Linked DNA regions of Alligator mississippiensis. The main gene of each other region encodes a partner of the protein of the gene in region 4 in a complex. Links are inferred from orthologs where the notes say so. Each region holds a gene or a part of one and is shown on either strand. Other genes may lie near its edges.

Region 1 (7,773 bases), on a different chromosome or scaffold from region 4:
AGAGTTGCCCACCTGGCTGCCTGCAGACTCCAACCTGGACACTTCCCCCACAACCCAACACTCCAGCTGCTGCTGGGGTGGGATCTCCAGTCTCCCATTACTTCTCTAGCTTCTGCTTCCTGCCCCTGCCCCACCTCTGTAGGTGGGGTGAAAAAATAACACTGTCTAAATATTTTTGCTGGAATATACATAAAATTAACAGGATGATATACTATAGGATCTCTCTCATCACCATTTTTAAAAGTTAGAACTATTATAGTTTCATTCCAATACTTCCTAAAATAATACTATTACGTTTTTTGTCAGAATTCCTTGGCAATTTCTGGGGGGGGGGGATTAAGACTGGGGCCCTTTCCATTACTCATTACTATAATTTTACTTGGCATTCAGGCTGCTTGCAGATGTTTTAAAAAAAGACAAAAACAAAACAAAGCATGCAGAAGTAGCAGCACATTACTTCATCCCAGCTCTGCAGCATGGATATAGACTGGGTGCTTCATCAGGTCTTTCTGGCGTTTTTATCTAACATTCAATCAGCTATTAGACAACAGTGCCAAACCCCCCCCACTAAAGCACCCAATCTATAAAGACACTGGGCGAGCTAGGTCCAACTAACGCGTTACCTCTTCTGGACATGCACCGAGCTTGGTGTAGGGACATGAGGAGTTCAAAGTAAAACATTGATTTTTTTTGTATTTCTTTAATGCCTGCAAGCAGCCTCAGAGTCCAGTTAATAATCTGCTTGTATTCACCAGGTAACCATCACTTTCCTCATCAACTGCAAGTTAAATTGTTGAACTTATTTTTTTTAATACAAGTGATGTTCACATACGTTCAGAAAGATAAGCATCAGGAATTAAACTCAATTGTTATAGTTATAACCCCTTGGCTATAACTTTCCAAAAAAGTGGCTATTATTATTATTATTCCCTGCAGTTACAAAGTCCTCCCATAGCCTCATTTGATATTATTTCTTCTTTCTATTAGGGTTTTTAATAATAAATGTAATAATAATAATTTAATAATAAATTATTTTAATCTTCTTCATCTGTTGGAAACTAAATTTATTCTTTTTGGACATGTATTTCTTCAAGGCTTCAATTAATCTTTAGCCTTACAGCAATCCTTATAAAGCCATCTTTTATGCCAACACCTATTCCCTATAAACAGATTATTATAAACACTTAACAAGAAGACCAAAATGTGCAATCTTGTGCCTTGCATCAAGAGAACTAAACAGATGCATCCAGACGAGTGCAGCTGTACAGTATGCAGTGCCACAGACACCACACGCCCCACACTTGCAGGTGTTCCCCTGCCACTGCTGTTTGCCCTTGGGGAAATGCATGTTCCCTCTGGGGGATGCACCACCACTTCCCAAAATGATCCTGGTAAATAGAAAACTATTCAGAGAATGTTAACTTTTTTCAACCAGTAAGGGACTGTTCTTATGTGCATCAGATATTACTGAAACATTTGTTTTCACTCTTACCTCCACAGATATAAATCATTGGCTGCTGCTTTGGTGGCTGAACATCCTTTTGAGAATCCATCCTCTGTCACTAAAAAGCCAAATGTAAGAAACCTGGTTTATCAAAAAAAAAAAAAAAGGGGAGAAAACAGACAGCATAACCTTATTTTCTGTACAGGGAATCTAGACCCTTCCTACTCCACATTTCAGATCATGCACACATGCATCATGGGAGCCAAACGTGTCTATCACCATTTCTACCCAATTAGAAACCAGAACATGGTTTGCTGCCAGTTTTCCAATCCTGTATGAAATCCAGGCTAGCGTGAAGCTATTTTTTTGTAACTGGCTCAAATTGCTGTTTGGTTGGGTTTTTGTCTATCACGGAGCAGGACAACCTTAGGCATCTCGCAGCGATAATGCTGCTCTGTGTACCTCTCCTCCGGATGCTTACTCCCTGCTGAAGCACAAGGCAAAAGCTCTTCTCCCTTTCCACAATGCACCTATACAAATATTGCTAAAAAGCAAAACACCTGCAAACATAACATACCTGGGTCAAACAAGCAGGTCACAAACCACAGGCAATATTGTTGTAGGCCAGGTTTTGCCACTGCAATCTAACCTATAGCTATACTGAAGCTTTTCTCACAATACAATCATGCATCATCACCAGTGTGGGGATCCACGTTTCCAGTCTACCACTCTGACACCCCGATACTCTGAGGGAATGCAGGCAGCGATACCCTAGCATACAGAAGATACGTGAACACAGAAACACCACTCTCTAAAGCAGGGGTGGCCAACCCGTGGCACAGGTGCCACAAGTGGCATGGGCAGCCTCTGTGTGCCAGGCACAGCAGATAGGGCAGGGAGCAGAAAGCAAAGCAACAACTCATGCAGTGAGCAGAGGGAAGGAAGCAGGGCAGCAGAACAAGGGAGCATAGCCTGGAACAGAAAGCAGAGCAGAGGAGGGGGATCAGAGTGGCAACCTGGGGAGGCTGCATGGCAGGCCTGCCAAAAGGTTGACCCTCCCACCCCAGGGAACATTTAACTACACACAGAGCTGGAGTAAGAGTACAGAGCAGCTGGGAAGGGCCGCCAATAGACCAAAAACCCAGGACGTTACAGGACAACAAGGTGCCAACAGGGCCCCCTCCCCCGAACAACCCTCCGCTGGCCGGGGGCAGGCGCCATCTCCAAGACCAACCTTCGGTCACATCCTCCTCAAAGGCGCCCCCTTCCCCACCCCCTGGGCCTTCCCGGCGGTGCCTCTGAGCACGCGGCGGCGCGGGGCAGGGACGAGCCAGTCCTGCCCTGGCAGCCCCACGCGCGGGGAGGGGGAGGCGGGAGGCCTCGGGCGGCGCCACCGCTGCAGCGGGGACGCGGAAGGGCCAGAGCGCAGCAGGCGCCTGCCGCCAAGGAGGGGAGACAGCCCATGCCCTACCTCCGCCGCTGCCCCGTCCTGACAGCGATGAATGAGGCCTCACGGCAGCTTCCGGCCGCTGCCGGGGAGGAGCCACCGCCGCGCCTGCCCGGTCCCCGCGCGGCCGCGTGCTTGCGGAGGGCTCCGGCGCCCCGCTGTCTGCTTCTCCGAGCAGCCCGCCCGGGTCCCGCGGCTCGTGACAGCCAGGCCTTTCTGCGGCCCCGCTTCTGAGAGCCTCGGCTTCCTTCCTTCAATTCGATTTTAAAGTCAGGTTGTAGTACTCCGGGGTGTGGAGAAAGGCTTGGCGCAGGAAACAAGAGCGCCCTAAAGGTCCAGAATGCAACCAGAAAGAGCCCCCACGCGTGTTATTTAATGCGAATCAACAAGTGCAAGTTATTTGGGGGCGGGGGAAGAGAGTAACTAGAAGACTCTTGAGGTCCTTTCCAGCCCACAGATCACTGATGGAGGGGCTGGCTCCTGAGCTTTTTTGGTGTATGGGGTTCTGCAGTAAACTGGTAGAATTATTACTTTCACTGTATGTTTTTAGCAAATTATATACATGTTATTGTTATATATCAACTGTATTGTTCATTTTATTGTACTGCCTTGAAGTAAGCTGTAAATAAGCCATTACTACTGTGGGGGTTCATTATTTGGTACCAGTTGTGCCCATGCCATTGTTATAGTAGTGTTCCTACTACAGTGGGGGGGTTGCAAACTTTTTCTTATTGTGCCCCCGCTTCCAGATTTACCAGCTGCCTGCATAGCTGTACCAGCATGTTTTATATTTTAACCCCTTAAATGCCAATTATAATGAAAATTAAATCTGCCATTACACAATTTCTCCATATCCCCCCTACCCCAGGCTACACATACATACCACAGTCTGGGAATCCCTGCACTAGAGGATTTACCAAGCTTTCAATATTAAAAGCAAAGATCACTGTGCATTTAACCAAGACTGAACCTTTAATTGTTCAAAAGGAAAAAATTGAGCTAAGGAGTTGAGTATCTCAGTTCTCTTTCCTGGGTCCTATACAGTACAATAACATTAATTTTATAAGCATACTAACACAGGCATTCTAGTTTATATAGAAGGATTGGTTTAGGCCACAGAAATGGGGAAATAGCAGTGTAGTTAGAAATTCCCCATAATTTAGTAGTAGAGTTGGAGTGTTATAGACTTGCTGGTATAGGAAATATGTGAGAAACAAAGTTTTTTGGTGATACGTTTTATTGGACTAACTGTATAGTTCAAAAAGATGTTAGACCAGCATTTGGATGCAAAGTGCCCTTCTACAGGGCTTCTCCATTAATTTAGCGAGATACAGTTTCTGAGTGGAAAAAAGAATACAGTGGAACCGATGCGTGTAGGAAAATCTGCATTCATAGAATTTGTATGAATAAATCCCCAACCCAAATGAGCACCTAAGTACCTTTTACAGCAAAGTCATAGAGAAAGCACCTGTGGTGTGATTGCAAGCGCCACGCTATAGACTGGTGATGCTCAACAATGGTGCCTTGGCTGCCTTGAGATCTTTTCAAGGCTGCCACTGTGTGTTAGCGCTGTGAAATGTGCAAATATGATTCACAAGATAAATCCAGAGATTTCAAATAGGAATCCATAGTGTTAAATACATCCTGACCTGTTGTGGGCTTTCTGAATTCACCGCAACAGAAAAGTTGCTTATTATATCCCTCTGGTGGAAAAAACAGTGAAAACTAAGAGCTGACATTTTCTGAGGGGTGCTTTGAGTCTAAGAAAGGGTGCCTTGACTCTAAAAAGGTTAGGAACCAGTCTTGGGGGATGATAACCCTAGGATTCTTTTTGTCAGAGCCCTCCAAGGATTAACGCAGCAGCTCATCCGACGTGGTGTCTAGTGAACTTCAATAGCAATCTCTATTCATAGATTCATAGATGTTAGGGTCGGAAGGGACCTCAGTAGATCATCGAGTCCGACCCCCTGCATAAGCAGGAAAGAGTGCTGGGTCTAGATGACCCCAGCTAGATACTCATCTAACCTCCTCTTGAAGACCCCCAGGGTAGGGGAGAGCACCACCTCCCTTGGGAGCCCGTTCCAGACCTTGGCCACTCGAACTGTGAAGAAGTTCTTCCTAATGTCCAATCTAAATCTGCTCTCTGCTAGCTTGTGGCCATTGTTTCTTGTAACCCCCTGGGGCGCCTTGGTGAATACTTGTTCACCAGTATGGGGTGGGATACCGTATCGAAGGCCTTCCTGAAGTCTAAGTATACGACATCCACCCCTCCTCCTGTGTCCAGGCGTTTCGTAACCTGGTCATAGAAAGAGACTAGATTGGTCAGGCACGATCTGCCCGCCACAAACCCGTGCTGGTTTCCCCTCAGCATAATTTGCCCTGCCGGGCTCTCACAAATGTGAGCCTTGATAATTTTTTCAAAGACTTTACCAAGGATGGAGGTGAGACTGACTGGCCTATAGTTGCCCGGGTCCTCCTTCCTCCCCTTTTTGAAAATGGGGACCACATTAGCCCTTTTCCAGTCCTCTGGGACTTGGCCCGTGCGCCATGAACGTTCGAATATTCCTGCCAGTGGCTCTGCAATGATGTCGGCCAGTGCCTTCAGCACCCTCGGATGGAGCCCATCCGGGCCTGCCGATTTAAAGGCATCCAGTTCTTCCAAATGACTCTGCACCACCTCAGGATCTACGTATGGAAGTCTGGCGCCTTGCTGCTGCCTCTCTACAACCCCAGTGAGAGACTTGTTGTGCCCCTCACTTAGGAACACTGAGGCAAAGAACTCGTTGAGGAGTTCAGCCTTGTCCCCCCTGTCCATCACCAATTGTTTCTGCCCATTTAGCAGGGGTCCTATTCCTCCCTGGGCCTTCCTTTTACTCCCAATATATCTATAAAACAATTTCTTGTTGTCTTTTACTTGGGTTGCCATCCTCAGCTCCATGGTAGCTTTGGCCCGCCTAACTGCCTCCCTACAAGCACGAGCAGAGGAGGTATATTCATCTTTAGTGATCTCACCCTGTTTCCACTTTTTATGTGCTCCCCTTTTGGCCCTTAGGCTGCCCTGGATTTCTGTGGTCAGCCAGGGAAGCCTCCTGGCCCCTTTCCCTCTTTTGCCTTGCTCGGGGATCGTCTTGCTTTGTGCCTGAAGGATCGTTTCCTTAAGGCACAGCCACCCTTCTTGGGCTCCCATCACTTCAAAACTCCTACTCTGCAGTGCTTCCTTGACTAATTGCCTGAGTGCATTGAGATCAGCTTTCCTAAAGTCTAGCACTTTCACCCTACTAGTTACCTTACCCACTCGCCGTCTTATGTTGAATTCTATTATTAGGTGATCACTGTCTCCCAAATGGCTACCGATCTGGAGGTCCCCTATCATGTCATCCCCTGTTGCCAATACCAGATCCAGTATGGCATTCCCCCTAGTGGGACCATGCACCTCCTGTGTCAGGTGGAGGTCCTGTATACAGGTTAGAAACCTGCGTGAGCGATGGGACCTTGCTGTCTGCGTCTCCCATTAGATGTCCGGGTAGTTTAGGTCCCCCATGACTACTGCCTCTTTAGCTTTTATGGTCTCTGAGAGTTGCCTCAGGAGCCCCGCATCTATTTCTTCCCCTTGGTGTGGGGGTCTGTAGCAGACCCCTACCACCAAATCCCTTTCTCCCTGCCCCCCATGTAGCCTAACCCACAATCCTTCTACTTCCTCAACCTCAGATTCTGTCTTGATGAGGGTTGATGTATATTGCTCACTGACATAAAGTGCAACCCCCCCCCCCTTTCTTCCCCGACCTGTCCTTTCTGTACAATCTATAGCCCTCAATATGTACCGCCCAGTCATGGGATGAATCCCACCAGGTCTCTGTTAGCCCCACTAAGTCATAGGTGTAATTATTTATTACAAGTTTCCTCCCTCTAATACGACTTGGTAAGCAGTTTCTTTAGACATTACAACAGCAACCTTCGGGGGTACTGACTTAAGATCCTCTGCTGGGTGTGTGCGCCAATCATTCCACTGGCACTGTGCCAAGCACATTCCTTATAGGGAAACTGTACCTGGTTAGCCCACCGTACCAATCACAGCACTCACTTTTCCCAGTCACTCTGTAAGCACTCTGTAATTTAATTAATTAGTTCTAGAAAGGCCTAAAGTTATGCTAAGAGTCTGAGCATAACTCAGTTTGCCTGCTACAGGGGCCAAACCAGTCCCCAGCAATGGGGCAAGCATGCCAGTACCAGCAGTCTTTGTATTGTTATTCCTAACAGCATGGGGCCCACTGAAGATAAAACACAGAGAGAGATCAAGAAAGCAGTGAACACTGGGCCACTAACATTATTCATTTTGGAAAGAGAAGAGAAAAGCCTTTATTGAACGTAAACTTGCACAATTTTTTTGTAAGTATTTAATTAAAAAACAAACAAACACCAAAGCAGCAATTCTGCTACATATTTAACTACCTGAACTAATCTACATATCCTGAGGAAAACAATCAGATGACTCAGACATTGTCACATGACCAGAGAATTTTAACCCAGAGAGGAGTGGTCTCCTTTGCCTGAACTTTTTTTTATTTTCAGAAGTTCAAGAGTGTATATTCTAGGCCTGATAGAGCTTAAGGTAAATACTTTTTTCTTGTAGGTCTTACTATATGCTCCTATATTCATTAAAACAAAGATACAAAGAAATAATTATGTGTTTTCAGTGCCACGATTGGTTTTGTTATAAAAAAGTTCATTTTTCAACAACGTAAATGTTTACCATATCTGCAGCCATTTAAACTATGGTGAAAAAATACCAATTGCTCTCTCATTCTCAGGCCCAAATATACTTTTACTACAAATGATGTGTACAGAACCCTACAAAATGTGAACTATGCATTATAATTCAGTA
Region 2 (6,829 bases), on a different chromosome or scaffold from region 4:
GGCGGAATCTGTCTTTGGAGGGTTTTACGGCCCAGCTCAACAAAGCCCTGGCTGGAATGATGTAATTGGGGATGGTGATGATTTGAGCAGGAGGCTGGACTAGATGACCTCTTGAGGTCCCTTCCAACCCTAATTTTCTGTGATTCTATGATTCTAAAATATTGCTAAAAGTTGTCTTCAACCTTTATATCAATACTATTCAGTAAAAGACTTATGATACTGAAAAAAACCCAAATCTACCCGAATAAAATTAACAAATGTAATTCCATATCATGACACTAAAGCTTTGAATAGAAAGTCAAATTTCCCAAGCATTCACCTCAAAGGATTTGGAAGTAGCCAAGGTCAGGTGATGATGCACTTAATTTCAATAGGAGTAATGTGCATTCAAGTACATGGGGTCCTCCTACTCTTCAGCATGCATGGGTTCATGCAGATTTTGTACCAATACAATTACATTACAGCAGCAATGAAAAGTTCTGCATAAAGGAAGCAATACAAATAGCAAACCATGCTGCTTGAGTACTCACTTTCTTCATCATCATCAGAATCTGAAAAATCCACACCATCTTCCCTTACGATTACTTGAGCTGTTAGGAAAGAGAACTATTAGTGCATAACTATAAAAAGCATAGAGATGACAGCCACAAGTTAAAGCATCTTCAGAACAATATTTTCACCAGAACTACCTGGTGAAAACCCACAATATCTACAATACATCAAAACAAGAAAAGAAGTTTTCTTCTACTCAAGAAGCCAGAAAAATTGTACATGCTGTTATCTAGTTTTAAGCTAATTTCTTATAAATTTCTTACAAAATTTGACCTTATACAAATTCTCTTACTCCAAGTTATTTTAGTAAAAAGAGTGTGAATTATCCCATTTAGAATAAAACGAATTACAAACTTACAAGGTACAAAATGTGAGACAACCATGCGGAGGCAGGGTCTAAGATAGATACTTTGTGCTGATACCAGGTTACCCAGAAAATCTAAATATTCCTCCACCACATCCTGGCTTCTTTTCAACCATGGCAGCTTCTGCAGGCAGTTAGAACAATGATGTGAAATATACAGACATTTTGAGATTAAACATTTATTTCTATATATTATGAGTGGCTACTTACCAACAAAATGCTGACCAGCTCCTCCACATCTTTTGTCAAGTATACAACAGAAGCACGGAATTCATGCAACCAGTTAATGATCTGGGCATCCTTATATAAGCAGACAATAAAATAGAGCAATTGCATTAATATAAAAACCTTTAAAACCCAAATAAACATGAGAATTATGATTAGGGAAGCAGTTTCTACACCAGCATGTTAGGAATGTCACCCAGCACCCTTCCTCCTGCACAAGGCACACCAATACCAGAGTGGAGAAAGGCAGAAATTGCAAATCCACCCATAGTTGCTGAACACAGTTCTCTTTCAAAATCCAAGATGAGTGGATTTATCACACTGAACGTAATAGCTAAGTAGGGGAACTACGTAGTACTCTAGACACTCCTTGTAGTCCTAAATCTAGTCCTGGTCCTCCCAGCCGCTGGGCACAAGGAACCCTTGGATGTATCACCTATCCGTTCTCTACAAGGAAGCAACGTTGTGCTCCAACTGTCAATTAGTTGTTCCTAAAGTCCTTTGCCCGAAAGAAAAAAGCCTGACAGATCTTATTCCAACCATTCTCCTTAAATAGACGTGGGCGCACACCTGTGATCCTCTTCCAACCTTCTCAAGCCTCTGCAAAACAGTTACTGCAAAAAATGGACAGATCTTGTCTCTTACCGATTTTCTGCAACTTAGTCATACGACTAAGATGATGGCATGTACAAAAGTAAGCAAGTAAACACTTCTTCAGAGACTTGAACAAGGTCCAACAGGATTACACTTGGAATAGGTAGAATAGGATCACTCCCAAGTCTGGAGCAGGTGCTGAACTGAAAGGATTAGTTTAGAATTATCAGGGAATTGCCATGGAAACGCAGCCTAACACTCTGTGGTCTGGAAGGAATGGAACATAAGCTGCCACCTGAAGAAATGTAATAACGGTCTGACTCCAAGTGGAGCGCTCTCAAAGAGGCGAGGAGGGATCAAAGGTGTAGCTGATCTGGAAACTGACAAGACTTCTGTCACTGCAAAGTTAACACAGAGCAAAGATATCTGAAAGATAAGAAACCCTCCCTGAAACCTGATCAAGCACCAAGAAATCTATTTGAGGGGGGTTTAAAATCATGTTTAAAACACAATGGCCACACTCTGCCTCATAATTAAATGTACTCCCATGAAACAACCACAACTATCAGAATCCCCCATTGCAAAAATGTCTCACCTTTATATCTGGATCTGACAGCTGATGCTTTAACAACTCAAAGTCAGCAGTTTCTCCCTAGAGTGAGTGTGAAGGGGAAAGAAAACAGAGGCACATTCGGTTTCCTGCGATCCCGGAGCACAGCTCGGGCCCCGCTACCTAACCCATCTGAAACACAAGCTTCCTCTTCTGTTACTAAGGACAGCTTGGAAGACCCCTGGCAAAAGCCAGAAAAGCCATAAAGTGGCAGCAAGAGTCGCAGCTTCTCTCTCCCCTGCTCTACTACTAAAGTCTGGCTGGTGCTTCTCCCTTCTGCCCACCCATCCCCTACGTTTCCTCAGAGAAGCCCGAGGAAGCAGCCCACCAGCACCCCCGGGACCGAGGCCGATGGGGGAGGGAGCAAGAAGCAGCTTTTCATCACCCCCGAGACAAGCCCAGGCGCCGTCACCTGCTCGTGCTTCAGCAGGACGTCCCTCAAGGTCCCGCCGAACCGGACCGTTTTCCTGAGCGGGGAGCCGAGGAACGCGCCTCCCTCCATGGCCGCAACGGTCAGACCGGCCGCCTCGCGTGCAGCCCACTGCTGGGGGGGCGGTAAAGACACCGTCACCCCCTCCCGCCTCAGCGCCCCCGGCCGCCGGGCCCGCCCCGCTCCTCGCCGCCAGCCGCGCGGCCGGGCCCCGCCATGCCTCCGCCTGCGGGCCGGAAACGAGCACTGAGCCCCCCGGAAGTGACGCACGCCCACACTACTAGTCTAAGGTGGCTGGCACGTTGGCCATGCGGCCGTTCTGGTTTCCCCTCTCGCTGCCCCTCGGAGGACTAGGGGCGGGGATCTTGGCCACGCCCAAGGCGCTGGGGGAGGTGACGTGTCTTCTCCTCCTCTCCCCTCCCCCCCCCCCCCGGTTTTTTCCTCAGAAGTGTCCGGGACCCCCTCGCCCCCTGGTCTGCACCGCCCGGCTCCTTCCCCCGCCCCGTGTCCGAGCCTCAGTGCCAGGGAGCTGGGCCCGGGCCCGGGCCCGGGGCGGTTCCCGGGGCCCAGGGTAGCAATGTGAAGCATCCCGTCCGCAGGGGGGGGCTTTGGGGACCTTCCGTCCAAAGGGAAAAGGGGATCTCGGACCACAACGCTCCAAAACTACTGTGCCTAAATTAAATTTAAAAAAAAAAAGTCATGATAATAGAACCGCAGTTTCCATTATTGAGCAAAATCACATCCTGCCAGGACTGAAAAGATTTGAGATCCACCAGGAAACATGTTTGTGGCAATCCAGACGCTACATTATAGGTAAGGACAGCTAATGGCCTGAAATGACCTCTGTAGGGGTAATAAGTTGTAACAAAATAATGTTGTACGTAAGACATACACAAAAACTAGATCTCTTGGTTCCAAAATGAGACTTTTTATTAGACCAAGTGGGAAATCGCAAGAAAATTGTCCTTTTTCTGCAAGCTTTCAGGATCAAAGTCCCTTCATTAGGCTCTGGGAACAGTACAGACGATACAAGATGGTAAAAAGTCCCCATGGGTAGGAAATAGACTTCGTTTTTGCACAGAGGGAGCTGAAGTCACACGGCTGTCCCTCCGGGTCCATGACAGGGTCTGTGAGCTGTGCTGAGCAGCTCTTTGACGTGTAGGTCTGGTAGATCTACGCGTCACTTTGTACTTACAGCACACTTTCTAGATGAACCCTTGCTCCCTGCCAGTCCTTTTGTAGCATCTGATAAAGTGAGCTGTTGATTACAAAAGTGAATGCATCTCTGACTTAGTCTATAAGGTTTCTCTCTGCCCTGCCTTCTGCCTGGAGTAGGCATGGCAGGCATACTACAGCATTCTGGCAACCAGTATAAAGCCATGCGACTCTGGTGCCTTTCCCACTTTCAGTATTTAAAAAACACACCGCTATTTATGATGAAATATCATTGAGTACGCTTGCTGGAGAGGCAAGCTAGCTGTTCATTTCCTTTAAACCCAAAAGAACAAATAATACTCTTATTCTCCAGGTAATTCACCTAAAATAGCTCTAGCAATTTGCTAGATTGTGCCATAGGCTTTGTTCTTCAGTCCATTATATCTTTGGTTACTACACTTCAGCAGGTATAGGGCAGTCTGTTTTGAAAGAAAGTACAGAACATGCAGTCATTAGAAGTGGTCTGACAAAAGTTAGCGCTCTCAGTTCATTTTCTGGTGGATAAATGTCCACATAAAAAGAACAAGTTGAAGTAATGACTATTTGCAGCAAAGTTAAAAAGATTGAACAGATCAGGGTGGGCAAAATGTGGCCTGTGGCCTGGATGCGGCCTGCCAGGCCATTCTATCCTGCCTGCGGGGCCCCTAAAAAATTTAGAAAATTAATATTTATTTGCCCCTAGCTGCCTGTCATACGGCCCTCAGTAGCTTGCCAATACTCAGTAAGCGGCCCTCCGCCTGAAATAAGTGCCCGCCCCTGGAATGGATGAACTACTGTATTGCAAGGAAATGGTTACAATATGGTTGATTGCTGATTTTACAGCATCTTGTAGACAGAATCAAACTGAGTTCCTTAACTGTGTTTCCCATGGGTTTCTCTTCGCTTTGTTTTAGGGTTTGTCTTTACTGAAAAATGGAATCGTTCTGCAATTAGGTTGGGAGCAACCATGTTCTAAACATGATTCTGTGCGTTCTGCCATGGGTAGCTGTCAGAAAGACACCTAACAGCTTGACCTTTGGTCCTTCTAGAAGGATCACACATAAGGAATTGTAAGGGCAGTGGGGCAAAGTTTGCAATGTCACTACACTGACACTGATAAAAGAAGTGATTTCAGTCATGAGCCTGTCCCACTAGCACAGGCTTGTCCAACATACAGCCCGCGGGCCGCCATGCAGCCCACCAAGGCATGTTCTGCGGCCCGTGGTACCGCGACAGGAAACTAAAGTAAACATGGTTTACTTTTGTTCCCACCCCTTGTCCCTCCCCCAGCCCCTCAGCAGCTTCCTAATGGCTACTGAAGGGCTAGGGAAGGGACAAGTTTCCCACACGCACTGGGTCAGCATGGCACGGCCGGGGGCATCCTTTGCAGGGACTGGACCCCTCCCTGGCCGGGGGCGGTGCAGGCTGCGGCTGCTGAGCGGCCCCGCCCGCCCACCCGCCCCGACAAGCCGGTGCCCATCCAGGCGGCCGCAACCAGTGCCGCGGGACTGCCCCACGCAGGAGGCCAAGCAGCGGCCGGTGGCACTGCTGGCCCATGCCTGCCTCCTCACCCGCCCGCTCCAAGCCAGCCCCGCTACCCTGCCCTGCCTCACAGCAAGGCGGTGCCTGCTCCCCTGGCCAGACTTCCCCCCGGTGCTGCGGCTCTCCAGGCCCGGCCGCCCATGCGCGAGGCCCCGAGGGGGCTGCTTCTCATGTGCTGCTGGGGACCGGAGGAGCCTGGCTGGGTCTGCACCAGCCAGGAGAAGCGGTGGCGGAGCCACATGCCACTCGAGACGGGACGAGCCTGCACCGGTCAGTCCCGAGCGGCACATGGCTCCACCGCAGACCTGGCCGGCCTCCTCCTGTCTCCAGCAGCACGTGGGAAGCCGGCTTCAGCTGCATGCTGCTTTTCCTGGTCGGTGCCGACCCAGTTCTGCCTAGGCGGGTCCTGCAGGAACCATGTCAACCCGGGCATGGCACCAGGTCTGACTGATATTTTTTCCACATTTGATCTGTTGACGTGCATTATGCTTCTTTCATTCACTGAGAAGTGAGTAGAAGCGAAAGTGTTTATTTTAGTCATGTGTTTGGTATTATTTCATTCTTGCTTTTATATCGTTTTTATTTTAGATTTTAAACCACATTTCCAGACCCATTTCATTGTCACTTCCTGCAACTTCATTGGTGTCAAAGGTCACGGGACCTCACTGGAAGACGTCAAACATAGTTGAACTTACAGCCTTATTGGTCATTCTGAATCAATTTCTCGGTGCCTCCACAGAATGTCTAAAATACTTGCATAGAAGTTGAAAACGGGTATCTTTGAATGTAAAGGTTCTTGCCTATTCAGTACTAAATTACAGAATGCAAGCTTTATAAAAGTCCTACATTTCAAAATAACCAAGGAAGCTATTAATTTTTTGTCAACTATGAGGCAAACATTTTTTATGGACCCTAATTAGTCAACTCCTTTGAAGATTACCTTTCTTTGCTGCAAACTCTTTAAAATATCGTGTTGACTATTAAAACTATTTTTACTGGATTCAGTTTCCTAAACTAAACTACAAGGCAGCTTTTAAATTATGACAACGGTTTGTGCTTGTACCCTATGGCTAGATTGTCTGAAAAACATAGTTTTAAATAGGCAGACAAGGTTCCTTGGGTGAATTTGATATCTTTTATTAGACCAATCCAAATGGTTGGAGAATAGTTATTAAGCAAGCTTTCAAGTTCAAAAACCCTTCGTCAGGCTAAGGAAGTGTCAGCACTTGGTGTGTGCTCTTCGTGGATGGAATGAAAAGTAAAGAGGCCAGGGGCTGGGCTGGGCTGGGGAGTCAGTTGCCAGGCAGATTATAATGTA
Region 3 (7,953 bases), on a different chromosome or scaffold from region 4:
TTGATAGTGAGTAGGCTTAACAAGCTTAGCATAATAAAGTAGTTCAAGTTTCCAGATCTCAGACATAGGTTTTGCATTAAATACATAAAAAAAATTAGGATAAGATGTGATTGCTATCAGAGAAAACATGCTGACAATACCAATCTGATACCCACTGCCATCATCTCTGTCAATGTCCAACACAGTGGAAAGCTGAAATGCCAATTACTGAGGTTTGCTATTAAAGTTTTGAAGCTGGCCTACATATCCTATACAAGGAGGTGGTATTCCTGCCAACAGCGACTGACAGCAAGCGATGCTGTGAATTGTTTTACACCCCAGTCCTGTAAACACGTATGTATGTACCTATGAGTAAGTTTCTCCACCTGACTAGCTTCAGCAAACATAGGGGTTCTGCTCACAGTTATTGATGTGCATAAGTGTTTGCAGGCTCACAGCCTTGGACACCTGAGTTTTGTTTCTGATGCTGTAACTCCGTTCAAATGGATAGACCCTTGCATCCTCAACAAGCTCCTAGAAGAAGCAGCTGAACTCCGCTTCAGTGCAGGACACCAGCTGCACAAATCAGGTCACAGCAGCAGGGCTTTTGATTACAACTTTGGGGGAATAATACAGCCTTTGGGCAACTTGATTTGTGTACAAATGGATGTTTCATAACTGGTAGCGTAGGCCAGTCTGGACTGATCAGCTGAGAATCATATGTTGGGTACAAAATGTATTGCTGTTAGTATTTATATTATGAGAGAACTGGAGACCCAAGCTTAGCATAGGTAGCTATTGGGCTATGTACCACATAAATGCCCCCAAAAGCTCATGTTCCCAATAGAGAAAAGCCCAAGCAAGAATGGGGCACAGGGCTTGGAAGGAGGAAATGGAACAGAAGTGACTTGCTCAGGTCTGCACAGGAGGGAAAGTGGCAATCAGAAGAAGGACATGGACACTGCACTGCAACTAGAGTCAGGACACCCATTAGGACATGTTGCTTTCATTCACCAAAACCTTTTAAGAAGAGTGGAAACATTTCACAGACTGCAGTTATGCCAATATCCATGCTATTCCAGTGGCCAGAAACATCAAATCTACTCAAAACAAAGGCACGAGTACAAAAGGTAGAGTGTCTTGCACTTTGCCATGTGTCAGCTTTTCTGAACCTTTTTTTTCCTCAAAGGTTACACACAAGAAAAGAGATTTGTATCTGAAGCTGTCGACAATTCTTTCAAGGCAGGGACCAACTTTGTGTTGCTTGTACAGCAGTGAGTACACTGGGGCCTGGAACTGCTAGGTATTATTGTAGTAGTATACAAAACATTTTATATATTAATGAATTTTGTAAATAGTGAATATTTAATAGCAGTAATTGATAAGTTTTACTACTACTATTAGAATTATTAATATCTGCCCATCAGTGTAGATTCATCCCTTGGTCTTCCCCATAACGACAGCCCTGACACTCATAAAGAGCTTCACATTCTCAAAGCAGTGCATGAATGTTAATTAATTTATATGAGGAGGGAAGAGTTTGTATTCCCCTGAAGGAAGAAACATTGTCTCAGTAATCAGGTACCAAGTACTGGTAATTTACTCCTCTCTATAGGTGACTGTAATGTAAGGATGGGGACATGGGCAGTCTTGTGGAGGGTGGGGTCAGCCAAGTACCTGAGCCAGTAGAATCCAGATCCACAGTCTAGGCCAAGGGAGTCAAAAGCAGATAATCAAAGTCACATTTCTAATCCCAAATTATATCCATGTTCATAGTCCAAGTCAGGCCAAAGGTCAGGAACTGGAGAGTCCAAACAGAGGACAGGATAGGTTAATATGAATGCTCCAAGCTAGAGCAAGGCTGAGTTATTACAGTGTGGAACATACTGAGTAGGCTAAGGCCTGGGTTTTTATACTCAGCCTAGCTGGCTCTGCAACCAGTCAGCTTGTCGCTTGCACCTGATGCTGCTCTGCAGCTAGGTGAGACTATTTATACAGCAATCTGCCCTCTAACTGTAACCAGGAAGAGGATAATGACACTAAGGAGTTTCTAGGGTGATGTCACTTAAGAACTAGGTCTTAGCCCCACTCTCACCCAGACTCTGGCACCAGTGGATTTATACACGATGTGTAAATAAAAAAAAAAGGCTTTGGTCCTCATCTGTTCATGAGCTCTGTACTGGTAGATCCTTAATACCAGCATGAAGCTCAATGGAGGTGGGGGGATTTGGGTATGGCTGCTCTAATTCTAGCCCTGGTGGTCCCTGATGGAATTGTTACACATTATACATGGGCTACACAGCTCTATTCACCCCATTTCATACCTGACAGCACAATGGTTGAAATGAGTGCAAAAATGCAAATTAAATGCAAAGAGCTTTATAAGTAGTGGGGGCTATAATGGCATATTCATGCACCACCTTTACTTGTGGCCCTCCATCACAAAACCTCTATAAAGTAAGCACCGCTGAAAGGAAGCTGCATCTGGAGTGGAGTATAATAGCCAAACTGATCACAATAGCCAAACACTGTTATGCAGCAGCAGCAACAGGAGGAAAATTTTGACCGAGGATATTGTGGGGAATCCCAGAGCTTTACTGAAATGTCTCAGCAATTGGCTGGCATTCCTTTTGCTAGCAAAAATTGTACTCTCACATTTTCAGGCCTGCCATGCTCTGATGCAAATCTGGTAGTTAGAGATGCATTTTTCTAGAAGTGGGCTAGACTTTTCCATCAGAACATTTTTTGTTGCTATAAAATGTTAATTTGTTGAAAGCTGTTTGCAAAAAAAAAAAAAAAAGAGTCCCTTTTTCTGAACTAAGAATAAAAAACCCACACCAAAAAATAACAAACCAAACCAAATCCATGTAGTAAATATGTCTACATTGTCAAAATGAGATATTTTTCCAAGCAAAACAGTTAATCTTTTTTCTGGTTTGAAATGATGTTAATGTAGCTATTTTAATTAATATAGATTTTTTTAAAAAGATTTAAAGATGAAAATACTGAAACTTATGAACTGACACAATTTGAGTTATTTTCCAGATTAATCATTTAAAAATATCTTCCAAAATTTGACTTTCCATCACACATTGGGACAAGAAAATACTTTGAAATCTCTTGTGGGATAGGCAAACCACTTCTCACCAACCTCTAATATCTATTAAAATGTGCACTTGCAACCTTTAATTATAGGCCTTAAAAAATACAGGCCCATTTGCCTGTACGTGAATTGCTTGGATTAAAAAAAAAAATGATCTGGCCTTTTCTATGCAAACTGCACAAACCTTCAATTTGTAAGGCTTAATCCAAGAGGATTGCTATTTTTTTTCCACCAAAACAGAGTAGCTCCTGGGTGAGCCACCATTTAGCACACCTCAACAGCACAACATGAGAGCAGGAAATGAAACATTCAGGAATCCTATGACAAGTATATAATTCCAAGGGGTTGTGGGGGGAGGGGGGGGTCTCTCTAAAAGCATGGTTTCCTAACATCCTGGGTAGGATTGATTCTAAAATAGGTTCTCCCTAGTCACTAGCTCTTTAAATTAATCATCATAAATGGACAAAACAGTAGTACATTTAGCAGGACCATCTGATACACCGTTCCATTTTCCATATATAATGTGTGTGTACTTATGTAAATAAAATATATATAAAACCGTGTGTGCATAAATCTGTGTGCATATACATATGTGTGTGTACACGCACACACTATCCTCTCTATATAAAGATCCCTCGTGGCTGATGCATATCCAATGCAACAGGACACAACAGCAATTGCAGGAGAGAAGAATCCTTGCACTGGTAAAGAAACGGAAGCCATGCACCCCCTCCTCTCAATCTGCGGATTTTAGATTAGGTCGTCGTTCCGTCCTCCCCCCCCCCCCCAACAGCTCATAACACCTAATTGCATTTTTTTTGTCTGTAGGAGCGGTTTGCTTATTGGGATTGCCATTAATTTGACAGGCAGAGCTCAGGCAGGGGATTGGCTAGCAGCAGATGACGCCCATAACAACAAAGGTGGAGTTGGAGAAATTACATTAAAAAAATTAAGAGAGAGAGAGAGAGAAGGAGAGAGGAAAAAAAGGAGAGGAAAACTCTCCCCTTCCCCGCCCCTCTGGCTGTGAAATGTACCAGTGTGTCAATTTCACGGTCTCGTTAAGAAAGCCCAGTGTGCCACGCAGCCCGGAGACGAGTGTGATCGCACTTCAGTCTGTACGTGCATTTCCTGGTGCAAGAGACACACAACAAAACTCCCCCTTATTTTTTTTTTGTCTTCTTCCCTGTGCGCTTGTTTACAAGGCAGCCACTTGCAGTGTAAGTTCTGCTTCTCCCCGTGCGCTGGTGCCAGAGCTTGGCCCGGGCCTCGGAACTTCGCAGGGAAAACCCGAATGCTCTCTTCTTTCCGTGCTAGGTGGGACTTGGAAAAAAACCCAAACCTTTTTATCTTTTTATGCTTTTTTTCCGGCCATGCATTTGAAATTAAAGCGAAGGGGACTGTTGGTGGCTCATGTGCCTGCTGCCAACGCCAGAAGAGGACTGTTGGAAGTGTCAGAAGAGGATTGTTGCTAATGTAAGATTTTTTTTTCCTCCTGTCTCTCTCTCTCTCTCTGCCTCGCTCTCTCTCTCTCCCTTTTCCCTCCTCCTTTCTTTTGGCTGGTGTTGCAAAAGCAAAGAGCAATAAAAAACACACACACACACACGCACATAGAGAGAGGCAGAGACACAGAGAGCCCCGTTAAGAGCCAGAAGAGAGAGTTTAAAAGAAGAGAGGAGAAGCCTGTCCCTAACAATCCCGCTTAGGGAGCAGATGGAAAAGTGGAGACTTGTGAAGGGCTGTGAGGTTGGCTAAGGATCCAGGAGCGAAAAGAGCCCGGCTGATTGGAAGAAAAAAGCAGAGAGATGGAGGCGGGGGAAGTGCAATCTCTCTGCGGGGACTGGAGCGAGTCCACGCCCGGGGCCAGCGCTGCAGAGCTGGCCAGCATTCAACCAGCGCTCCCCAGCTAAAGCACCCAAAAAGGCAGCCCCCGAGCCCCTGCTCCAGCCCGGGTGGTTTGCAGGTACGTGCCGTGGAGAAGCCAAGCCCCCTCCGACCTCCAGCAGCCAACGCGCCCGATGCAGCCCCCCGTTGCAAGGGAGGGTGGGTGGGAGAGAAGGATCAGGGGGAGGGGGGAGAAGGCACGATCCGAAGCGACGCTTGCTGCACCGGGCTGCTTTGCTGCAGCAGGAGCGCATGTGGAGCTCGCCATTACCCGCCGCTCTGGTTCGCCATCTGGGGCTGGAGGAGGCGCTTTGTTTCCTCCCCGGCGGGCTCCGGCGGCTGCTGCTCTCTCCAGCTCGCAGCCGCTGCTCGGTAAGGCGGGGACCGGGGCCGGCTGCAAGCGGGGGGACCGGGGCTGCGGCCGCGCGGGGGATCGAGCCGGATCCCCGCGCGCTGCGCGGCCCGGCGGGGAGGATCGGATCTGATCGGATCAGGTCGGATCGCCGTGGAGGTGGCGGCGATCGCGGCCGGACCCTGCGGCGGGAAATGGAGCGGGAGCAGGGGCCGGGCGGGGGAGCGGGAGCCGCGGCGGCAGCAGCAGCAGCAGGCGCCCAGCGCCGCAGCCCGGCGGTGCCTCCGCCTGCGGGGGGCCCGGCGCCGCACGGGGGCTCGGCGAGGGGGGAGAGCGCGAGGGCGAGGCGGCTGCTCGGCCTCCGCGCTGCCCCCTCCCTCCCTCCGCCCGCCTTCCCCGGCGGCTGCAGCTGGCTGTCGGGGGCAGGCTTCCAGCGCTGGGCGGTCGGTTGTTTTTCCCGAGCCTGCTAGTTCCGCGCCGGAGCTGCTGAGGTCGCCATCCCCGCCCGCCCGCCCGGCTCCTCGCCGCCGCCATCCGGAGGTGCGTGCCCGGGCGCGTCCCTGCCCTGCCCTGGCTGCGGCGCTGGGGTGGGGGGGGGCCGCGGCGCCGCTCCCCGGGGCCGGCGCGGGGAGGACGCGCTGCCCGGCCCCGAGCGGGGCCGCGGCGGCTCATAGCCCGGGCGGGGCCGCGGCGGGGCTCCGGCGCCTCGGCCGCGCCAGCCATTGTTCGCCCGCGCGGCGCGGCGCGAGTCCCGGCCCCAGCCCGGAGCCGCGGCGGCCCCATTGTCCCCGGCCGGGCCGCGGGAGGGCGCGGGGGAGGCGGCCCCGCGCCGCTGTCTCCGGCGGGCACCGAGCCGCGCGGCTGAGGCGGCGCCTGTCCCCGCTGGCGGCCGGGGGAGGGAGCGGGCGAGGCGGGAGCGGGGAGCCAGCAGGGGCGGGCGGGAGGAGAGAGAGAGAGAGAGAGAGAGAGAGGGAGGGCGGGAGGGAAGGGGCCGCCCGCAGCCGGCGCCGAGGCGGCGGAGTCAGCTCAGCTCGGCGCAGCGCAGCCCTGCCCTGCCCTGCTGAGCCGCGCCCGCCCGCCCGCAGCTGCCGCGCGCCCTGCGGTGAGAGCCGGGGCCGGGCGGAGCGGGGGCCGCAGCTCCCCGGGGGCGGGCGCGGAGCGGAGCGGGGGGCGCTGCCGGAGCTGCGGCGGAGGCCGGGCGCGGCGCGGCGCGGAGAGGAGGCCGCCTCGTCGGCCCGCAGGGGGTGGGGGAGGGCGGCGCAGCTGCCGGAGCCGTCGGTCCCAGCCGGGTGCTGCTGCCTGGAAGAGGAGGAGGAGACTGGCGCCGGCCGCAACTGCATTTGGGCAGGGGCTGCGCAGGGCATGTGGGGATCCGGCCCGCCCGCGGCCCTGCCCCCTCCCCCGGCCCGCGGGGATCCCTCCTCCCGCCCCCCCGCCGTGCCGCCCCCCCGCGCCGCGGTCCCTCCCCCGCCGCGCGGGACCCCCCCGCGGGCCCGCCCCCCCGCCCGGGATCCCGCCCCCCCGCGCGCGCCTCCCTTGGCTCCCCCCTGCCGGCCCGGCCCGGCCCCGCAACGGCGCTGCAGGCCCTACCTGCTGCTGCATGGGGGCGCCCCGCCGCCCCCCACCCCGCCGGCCTGGCCCCGGGGCAGGGGCGGGACCCCGCGGGCGCTCAGGTGTGCCCGGCCGAGACTGGGGGCGGGGGAGGAGCCTGGGGGGGGTGCCTCCCAGGAGGTGGCTTTTCCTACCTCCTGGCGTGGCTGGGCTCTTCCACTGCTCTCCCTCGGGGGCTACCGCCTCGACCCGGCCCCCGGGAGCCACCCTCCACTCACTCACCAGCAGGTGAAGGGGTGCTGTGCGCTCCAGCTCTTCCCTTTTGACTGGGAAAGGCTTCCTCTTGGAGTTGGGCAAGGGGTTTCAGTTCCCTTGACTATGCCTCTTCCAAGCAGAGGGGCTTTTTGCAAGCCATTTATAGCTCGGGTTTCCCTTTGCCTTTTAGAGTGAAGCTTACTTGATTTAAGGTAGACTCGGAAGGAGCCAGGAGGCCCAGAAGGGACTGCCCTTGGGTCAGACAGGTGGAGAATGAACGGAGAAGCGGAGTGCCCTACGGACTTGGAAATGACAGCTCCCAAAAATCAAGGTGAGAGTAGCCCCGCTGCCCAAGGATGCCTGGCTCTCCCCCAGCTATGCAAGGGACCCGGGTGCTGAGATCCCTTTACACCTCCCTTCCAGCTGTCTCTGGAAGACTCGCCCAGTTTTGTGCCCGTGAGCAGTTCCAGTTGGACGCTCCCGTGTGTGAAATCAAGCACTTGCATAACCGCCTGGGGGAAGGGGCTGCGAGAGCAGCGTCACCCATTCCTAGCATGCTTAGAAATTAGCAGGACACCTTCAGTTTGGGTTTAAGAGCCTGCCCAGTACGTTGACCAGATCCTGTTACGGATTTGGTCTTTACACCATTCTTTCTCCTAGCCCTTTCACGGGAATGCTGGAAAACATTGTTTCATGCTTCATATTGGCCCCTGAAAGCAAGTGATAAACCTAATAATATGCCACCCCACACTCGTTTGGTCGAGCTGCAGACATGGCAACAAGCCTGGCTGAATCAAACGGCCAGTGAGATGCTTTTAAAAAAAAAAAAGGA
Region 4 (6,836 bases):
CCAACCCAACTTTTGGCCTTCGGGCCCCAGACTTTTGTCAAAGACTCAGCCTTCCCGGCCTTGCCCCGTTTATTCTGGATGCACCTTTCAGTCCAGGTCTAGTGCCCTGGGCCCCTACCTTGTGCACTCTGGGCCCTGGGCCCCTGCCAACTCTCACACTCTGGGCCACCCATCAGCCCTTTGAGTCCCCAAACCCAAGCTGCACTGCTCTCCCTCTGGTCTTGGCCCTCTCAGCCTTGGCCGACTCATTCAGCCCTTAGCTCTCTGGGTCCCTGACCACAGGCCAGGCTGCTTTCATTACCTGTGGCCTCACCCTCTCAGCCTTGACTTAACTCACTCAGCCTTTAGGCCTCTGGGTCCCTGACCCCAAGATAGGCTCCTTATTATTGGCCAGCCAATCCATGAAGCAAATGTATCTGACCATAACATTGGCTATTTTTCTCTGTAGGAAGAGATGCCACTATCTCCCCATTTTGGCTCCCCCATGTGTTCCCCGCCACAGACAGAAAAATTATTTTTGGCCCGTCAGATCTGCAGGGGGGCTTGTCACAAATAATAAGCAATCCCAATAAAACTCAGAGTCCCCCACCACTGCATCCCCCAGTTGGGAGAAGAACTACACTAGAGCCCAGCATGCTGCAACAAGGACTGTCCAACAAGGGGCCCTGATGTGATGGCCTGACTTTGCAGAGGGCTCTTGGCCCTGGATCTCCTTTGCCACAAGCAGAGGTTGGATCACTTTATTTGATGGACCCTGAAGTCATTCCAGGTGATGCCAAGTGCAGTCCTGGGCTCATATAAGGGGGTCTGCGATTGAGAGATACTCACCCTGGATCAGAGTGACAGGCGAGTAGGTCTAGCACCTCACCCTCCTGTCAGGGCTTCTCAATCAGGCACAGGATTAATCACCTACTTCTCAGGTGACAGTAATAGTGAAGGTGACATGTAGCAAGGAAGCAAACCATGTGACAGATTTTCAGTTGACAAAAACTGGATGGGTAAAATCAATTCTGCCTGTTTCCAGTATCCCTCCCTTGCAGAAACGTCAACTGCCTCATTTGGAAATGAAGAGTCACAGGGTGCTGTTTCACACGCTGCCATTCAAAACAGCTACAGAGACTCTAGAATCTAGATACTTGTTCAATAAGAAAGGTACGAGGACAGAGAGATCCCCTACATCACAGGCCAGGTGCTGCCACAGCTGGCTCAGCATCTCCAAGGTGTCAGAGACATTAGTGGAGACACATGGCAGCAGAAGGGCTTATTTTGCTGTTTGTGGCATCACATCCCTTCAGCAAGAGGTGCTCTGGCATCAGGGGTCCCCGTCCCTCAGCAGAGCTGTACCCAGAGACATCCAGCTCACAGGACTGGTCTGGTGTAGACTAAGCCTTGCACACACACCTTCATGGGCTCCTAGGCCAGTGGTTTTCAACCTTTTTTTCATTTGCAGATGCCTAAAATATTTTGAACGGACATGTGAACCACTTTGACCTGTACATGTGTGTATTCACATGTGGTTGATTGATCAGTCATTTTTTGTGTACCCCTTAGACCAGGCTCGTCCAACATACGGCCTGCGGGTCACCATGCGGCCCGCCAAGCCATTTTATCTGGCCCGCAGCGGCGGCAGCACTGCCACCACTGCTGCCACGGAGCGCAGAGCCGCAGTGGTGGAGCGCAGAGCTGCGGCGGCGGCGAAGCACAGAGCCGCCGCGTCGGGGCAGCAGCGAGGCGGGAAGGGCAGGGCAGGGCAGGGCCGGCCCGCAGGCCCCAGCCGGCAGTGAGGGGAGGGGAGCTGCTTACCCCCGCAGGGCCCAGCTCATCAGTGAGCCGGGTCCTGCTGCAGCTGCCCCGAGGGCTGCACGGAGTGGGGCTGCCCCAGCCGCGCCTGATTGGATGAGCTGGGGGTGGGCTCCGCCCCTTGCCCCCGGCATGTGGCCTGGGGAGCTGCAGCATGGTCCACACCCTGCCCGCATGCATGGCGGAAGGAGGCACGAGGTAAGTTCCTGCGCAGAGCTGGAGGCGCCTCAGGGCCAGGCTGGGGTGGACGGAGGAACAGAGTAAGTTCCTGCATGGAACTGGGGGCGCCTCGGGGCCGGGCTGGGGCGGACGGAGGCACGGGGTAAGTTCCCGCGTGGAACTGGGGGCGCCTCGGGGCCAGGCCAGGGCGGACGGAGGCACGGGGTAAGTTCCCATGCGGAGCACACCCATTTCATTGTTAATTCCTGCAACTTCATTGGTGTCAAAGGTCACGTGACATCACTTCCTGATGTGATGTCACTTCCTGTGAGGTCTTTGAATATGGCTCACTGGCCCACTGGATGATAAAATGTTCATGATCCGGCCCCACATTCAAAAAGGTTGGACACTCCTGCCTTAGACAGTCTGCCGCCCCCAAGGCATTTGCAGACCTCAGGTTGAAAACCACTGCCCTAGACCCAGACCATGGCGGCTGACAGCTGGTCACCATGTGCCAACATGCAGGGCTGCCAACTGTGTTTGAATCAATTCAGGTTTCTGGAACACCAGTGTGCCTGCGACACACAATGCAAACATGCCTGTGCGTTTGCGTTGATCAGTTATGGATTACAGCGCATAGACTTTACGCCAGAAACATCAGCAATGCGTAGGGCGTGCACACGGGTGCACGTGCATCCCCTGAGCGTGGCAGTGCACCCCCTGTGAAAAGCCTGCTGTTGGTCGCTGCTCGCCATCCCCCCACCCTCGCTGCTGACAACCAGCGGCATCTATGGGAGGTCTGCAATCGCTGCTGGCTGCTGCCGACGGTGTCTGCGGGTGGTTGAACACTGGTCGGCGTCTCCTGCTCCCTGCTGCTGACAACGCTGCGGCTGCCTGCGGGAGCTGCACACCCGCCTCTGCCACCCTCCTGCCGCCAACAGCGCCGCCGCTACCACCTGCAGGAGCTTGCCGTGCCCCCCAGCCTCCGCAGGGCACATCGTTCATGGTCAGGAAGGCAAATGCACTTTCCTCTTACATTTTAAAAACCCACTGGACTACTGCATATATCAGATTCAACATTTATTATTTATTCCTTTCTCTTGGCTCTATGGTGCAAGGTCAACTCTTGATTCAGTGCAGCATATTTGCTTCTAAGGTTTTCTTTCCCCGTCCTTGCCCCTTCCTAAATTTAAGTGCCCCACGTGATAGTATTTCCCGCCTTTTCCCTTGGGGAAATGACTTCACAAACTGCCCCATAGCATTTATCTCCTCGGGGGCTCTCAGCCGGCTCCTGGACCTGTGGTTCTCAACCTTTGTTGTACCAGGACCTGTTTGTAAACATCAACTTCAATGGCCCCTGTCCCTCCCTCCCCGCGGCCCCAGGCCCCAGCCCCCAGTCTGTGCGGTGGGGCAGGTGGCTGCAAGCACCGCCCCCCCCCCCAGCCTGGAGCTGTGCCCGCCTGCCAGGGGAAAGCCCCGGCTTCCCTTGTTTTTCTCCTTTAAAGGAGACTCCATTGTGAAAGTGTCACTTATTCATATATAAAATAATAGATATAATAAATAGATATAATAGAATAGTAGATGTTATAAATAGATATAATAATAGACTCTTGCGACCCACTTGGAGGCCATGCCCCACGGGGTGACTAATGAGCTAATTAATTAACTAGCTAATCCCTGGAGACTCCAGCGCACACCGAGAGGGTGAGCAGCGCACCGCGGAGCGAGATGAGCCGGAACTGGAGGGGAGGGGAAAGTGGAGGAGGACACTAGAGCTGGACCGGAAAGGAAGGGAAAGGAAAGCCGCTGCTCTGGATGGAGACGCTCTGTCGCGCGCGCTTCCTTTGCAGCTCTAGTGCTCTGGCGGACCGGGAGTTGCCTGCTCCGAGCGCGGCGGCGGCGCGCGTGCGCCATGGAGCCGGCGCCGTCCGCCTTCCGCGCGGGCCCGGACTTCTGCCCGGAGTGCGGCACGGTGCTGCCCCTGCCCGGCGTGCAGGACCGCGTCACCTGCGTGTGCTGCGACTTCGCCATCGCCGTGCGAGGTGGGCCGGGCCCGGGGCTGCTCGGCCCCTTCCCCCAACCTGTGTCGTGTCCCCCTCCCCCTCCCACCCCACAGTTGTTTAATGACCTTTCCCCCCTGCAGACTTTGAAGGCCGCCTGGTGCAGTCATCCGTGGAGTTTCACAGGCCCGGGGCCACGGCTGTGCCGGCGGGGGGCGATGGGCAGGAGGTGAAGGGCCCCGTGGTGAGTGGGGGTCTCTGCGGGCGGGCGGTGCGGCAGCGTCCTGCGGCGGGGAGTCCCGCAGGTTATCGCCCCGTGCGGAGGGGCCTCAGCGCGCCGGTGACGTCTGCCCCGTAACCCTGGGAGCCTGCCTCGGCTCTGGTGACCCTTTCAGATTGATGGCACCAGGAGGGGTGTGAGTTGAGACCTACCACCTCACTTATTGGCCTCCCTCAGGCAGGAAATCCCAGAAATTAAGAGCCAGAAGGGACCTCAAAAGAGCGAGTCTTACCGCCCCGGCGCCCCAGGCCCGTCGTGGTTCCCGTGGCCCCTCTCTGCGCCCGGTCAAGATTCTCCGCGTCCTGTTTGACGCGCGGTGCCCAGAACGGGGCCCAGGGCTCCAGCTGGGGGCTCGCCAGCACCGAGTAGAGAGGAAATACTACTTCTTCTCTAGTCGGGAAAGCTGACAATTGATTCCTTGGGATTTCAGATCGACCGGAAGTGCCCCCAGTGTGGCCACGAGGGCATGGTGTATCACACCCGGCAAATGAGGTCGGCAGACGAAGGGCAGACTGTGTTTTACACCTGTGCTGAGTGCAAGTAAGGAGCCATTCGTGGGTGTCTTTTATGGGAGGTGGGGGAAGGGAAGAGGAAAGGAAAGTTGCAGTCCGTGGAGTAGCAGCTTTGTCCTGGAGCAGCCTGGATTTTAGTTGTTTCATCAGTCAAAGCTGAGATTCAGATTTTCACCAGAAACCGTGGGCATTTTTACACACGTTGTGGGATGCAATGCTGGGTGCTTTAATTAGCAAGCCATGCTAATTAAAAGTGTCTGTGCATTGCATGTATCAACATCACCATGCATCGCTACTCTGAAAAAATGGCAGGGCGCTTTTAATGACAGCTTATCAAACGTGCTTTTATTCAGACCACTCAGCCACCATTTTTTCAGCATGGAGACATAGCGATGCTGATGCACGTGGCACGGGAGGCTGCTGGAGCACGTCGATTTTTGTGTTCCAGCAGACTCAGTGAACTAAGTCTGCTCTGACACGCTGGCTTTCCAGTGCATTGGAGCAGGCTCCACATGTCTGTATAGGAGCCCTGTGACATTTCAGTGAAAGAATTTCGAGGCCAAATTTAATAATATCTTCTCATTGTGTAAACAGCAAGATATTTATTCTCTCTTTGAAGGTTTTTTGGTGACCAGTGAACATCACTGGTCACCTAGAACTTGCGTTCTCAACCTTTTTTGTACCAGGACCCATTTTTAAACATTGATGCCCAGTCCCCCAGTGTGTGGGGCACGGAGTGAGTGGGTGTGGGGCACGGGGGGGCCCCAGGCAGCCTCTTGCAGGCTGGAACTCTGCCAGCTTGCAAGGGAAAAGCCATAGTTCCCCACGTTTTGCTCCTTCAAAGGAGAATCCATTTTAAAAGTTTGTTTACAACCCTTTCATATATTCATGTGACCCACTTTTGGGTCACGACCCATGGGTTGAGAAATGCCGACCTAGAAGACAGCATTTCTTACCCTTTTGAAAGTTGAATTTGGAATGAGGCAAATGGTCCAAAGCAAGCCCACAGTGGAGACACCTTAATTTAGCCTTCTGCTCCCTTCCTCCCCATTCCAGCCAGAGGTTTGCATTCCCTGCTTTTCCCCACTGGGAAATAGTGGGTTCATGGCACAGTCCTTCTCCTCCTCTTCCTCCTCCTCCTCTTTCTTCCATGCTTTGGGAATGGTGGACATAATTACCATAGAATGATCTGTCATTGGCATCTGAGATTGAACCCACCAAGATGAAGGGAGGCAGTTCGTATCTGAATGCGACATCTGAGCTGACTGGCACAGCGTCTCTGCAGACTGGCGGGATCACTGCTTCCTATGTACTTTCTCAGCTACAGTGAATAATCAAGAGACCAGTTTGCCACCCCACCTGCAGATTCTTTAAGCCTCTGTGGGGAGATTTGCACCAGTCCTAAAAATTTTGCCTTCAGAGCAACCAAGGACCAACCTATCAAGGACAAGATGGGCCTCAAAGGCTGCGTCCATGCATGATGTGGACGTTTGTCTCCCCAGGAACAACTAGCAGGGGCACAACTAGCAGCAGCAGCACGCCTTGCACCACTGCTAGTTGTCCCCAAGGAATGCCTGTGTTGTGTCGCGAGTTACCTAGGGGTGGTAGGGGAGGCTGGGGCCTGCATTGGGCTGTCCCCAGCAGTCTTTCCTGGGGGCCTCCGAGGACTGCAGGAACAGTGATTCTGGCCGGCAGCTGCAGCGTGGCTCCGGGCAGCCCATCTCCACTTCTAAGCGAAGTGCACTACCCCTGCGTGCACTGCTCTACCTTTTTGCTCCGCAGATTTTTTTGACTCATGGTCAAAAAAACCCTCCACACTGCTCCCTTGCAGTGCGGAGAACAATTAAACGTGCCGTATGTGGCATGCAGATGTCTGCAGTGCCACCTACCACACAGCCGCTTTCATCTGGGCATAGCCAAAGGGTTTATCTGCTCAGCACAGGACAGTGCTGCACTGAGGGGCAGAACTTACTGATGCACTTACAAGTGCCACCCTAATAATCTGTTTCTGCACCATGGAGAAAATGCACCACGTAGACGAGACCTCACATATTTTATCTATCAATAAATTGAAGCTAACAAAGG

What was found.
Region 1: POLR1H (region 4) and POLR2K share a complex: the UniProt entries of both Homo sapiens proteins name them as parts of the pol I pre-initiation complex. The link is inferred for Alligator mississippiensis from reciprocal best matches to the Homo sapiens genes POLR1H and POLR2K.
Region 2: POLR1H (region 4) and RRN3 share a complex: the UniProt entries of both Homo sapiens proteins name them as parts of the pol I pre-initiation complex. The link is inferred for Alligator mississippiensis from reciprocal best matches to the Homo sapiens genes POLR1H and RRN3.
Region 3: POLR1H (region 4) and UBTF share a complex: the UniProt entries of both Homo sapiens proteins name them as parts of the pol I pre-initiation complex. The link is inferred for Alligator mississippiensis from reciprocal best matches to the Homo sapiens genes POLR1H and UBTF.

The regions. Positions count from the first base shown.
Region 1 is NC_081826.1:38,817,557-38,825,329, forward strand, and holds the start of POLR2K (DNA-directed RNA polymerases I, II, and III subunit RPABC4), read right to left. Parts: upstream 3,018-7,773; 5' UTR 2,916-3,017; intron 2,780-2,915; exon of another isoform or gene 2,679-2,779; intron 1,586-2,678; 5' UTR 1,554-1,585; coding exon 1,493-1,553; intron 1-1,492. UniProt on the Homo sapiens protein: DNA-dependent RNA polymerase catalyzes the transcription of DNA into RNA using the four ribonucleoside triphosphates as substrates.
Region 2 is NC_081836.1:42,573,627-42,580,455, reverse strand, and holds the start of RRN3 (RNA polymerase I-specific transcription initiation factor RRN3), read right to left. Parts: upstream 3,004-6,829; 5' UTR 2,848-3,003; coding exon 2,758-2,847; intron 2,388-2,757; coding exon 2,331-2,387; intron 1,217-2,330; coding exon 1,127-1,216; intron 1,041-1,126; coding exon 911-1,040; intron 591-910; coding exon 531-590; intron 1-530. UniProt on the Homo sapiens protein: Required for efficient transcription initiation by RNA polymerase I (Pol I). Required for the formation of the competent pre-initiation complex (PIC).
Region 3 is NC_081827.1:159,407,645-159,415,597, forward strand, and holds the start of UBTF (nucleolar transcription factor 1), read left to right. Parts: upstream 1-4,951; 5' UTR 4,952-5,042; intron 5,043-5,245; exon of another isoform or gene 5,246-5,335; intron 5,336-5,765; exon of another isoform or gene 5,766-5,855; intron 5,856-6,333; exon of another isoform or gene 6,334-6,417; intron 6,418-7,311; 5' UTR 7,312-7,394; coding exon 7,395-7,452; intron 7,453-7,953. UniProt on the Homo sapiens protein: Recognizes the ribosomal RNA gene promoter and activates transcription mediated by RNA polymerase I (Pol I) through cooperative interactions with the transcription factor SL1/TIF-IB complex.
Region 4 is NC_081834.1:54,008,904-54,015,739, reverse strand, and holds the start of POLR1H (DNA-directed RNA polymerase I subunit RPA12), read left to right. Parts: upstream 1-3,828; 5' UTR 3,829-3,871; coding exon 3,872-4,001; intron 4,002-4,102; coding exon 4,103-4,203; intron 4,204-4,669; coding exon 4,670-4,779; intron 4,780-6,836. UniProt on the Homo sapiens protein: Core component of RNA polymerase I (Pol I), a DNA-dependent RNA polymerase which synthesizes ribosomal RNA precursors using the four ribonucleoside triphosphates as substrates. Can mediate Pol I proofreading of the nascent RNA transcript.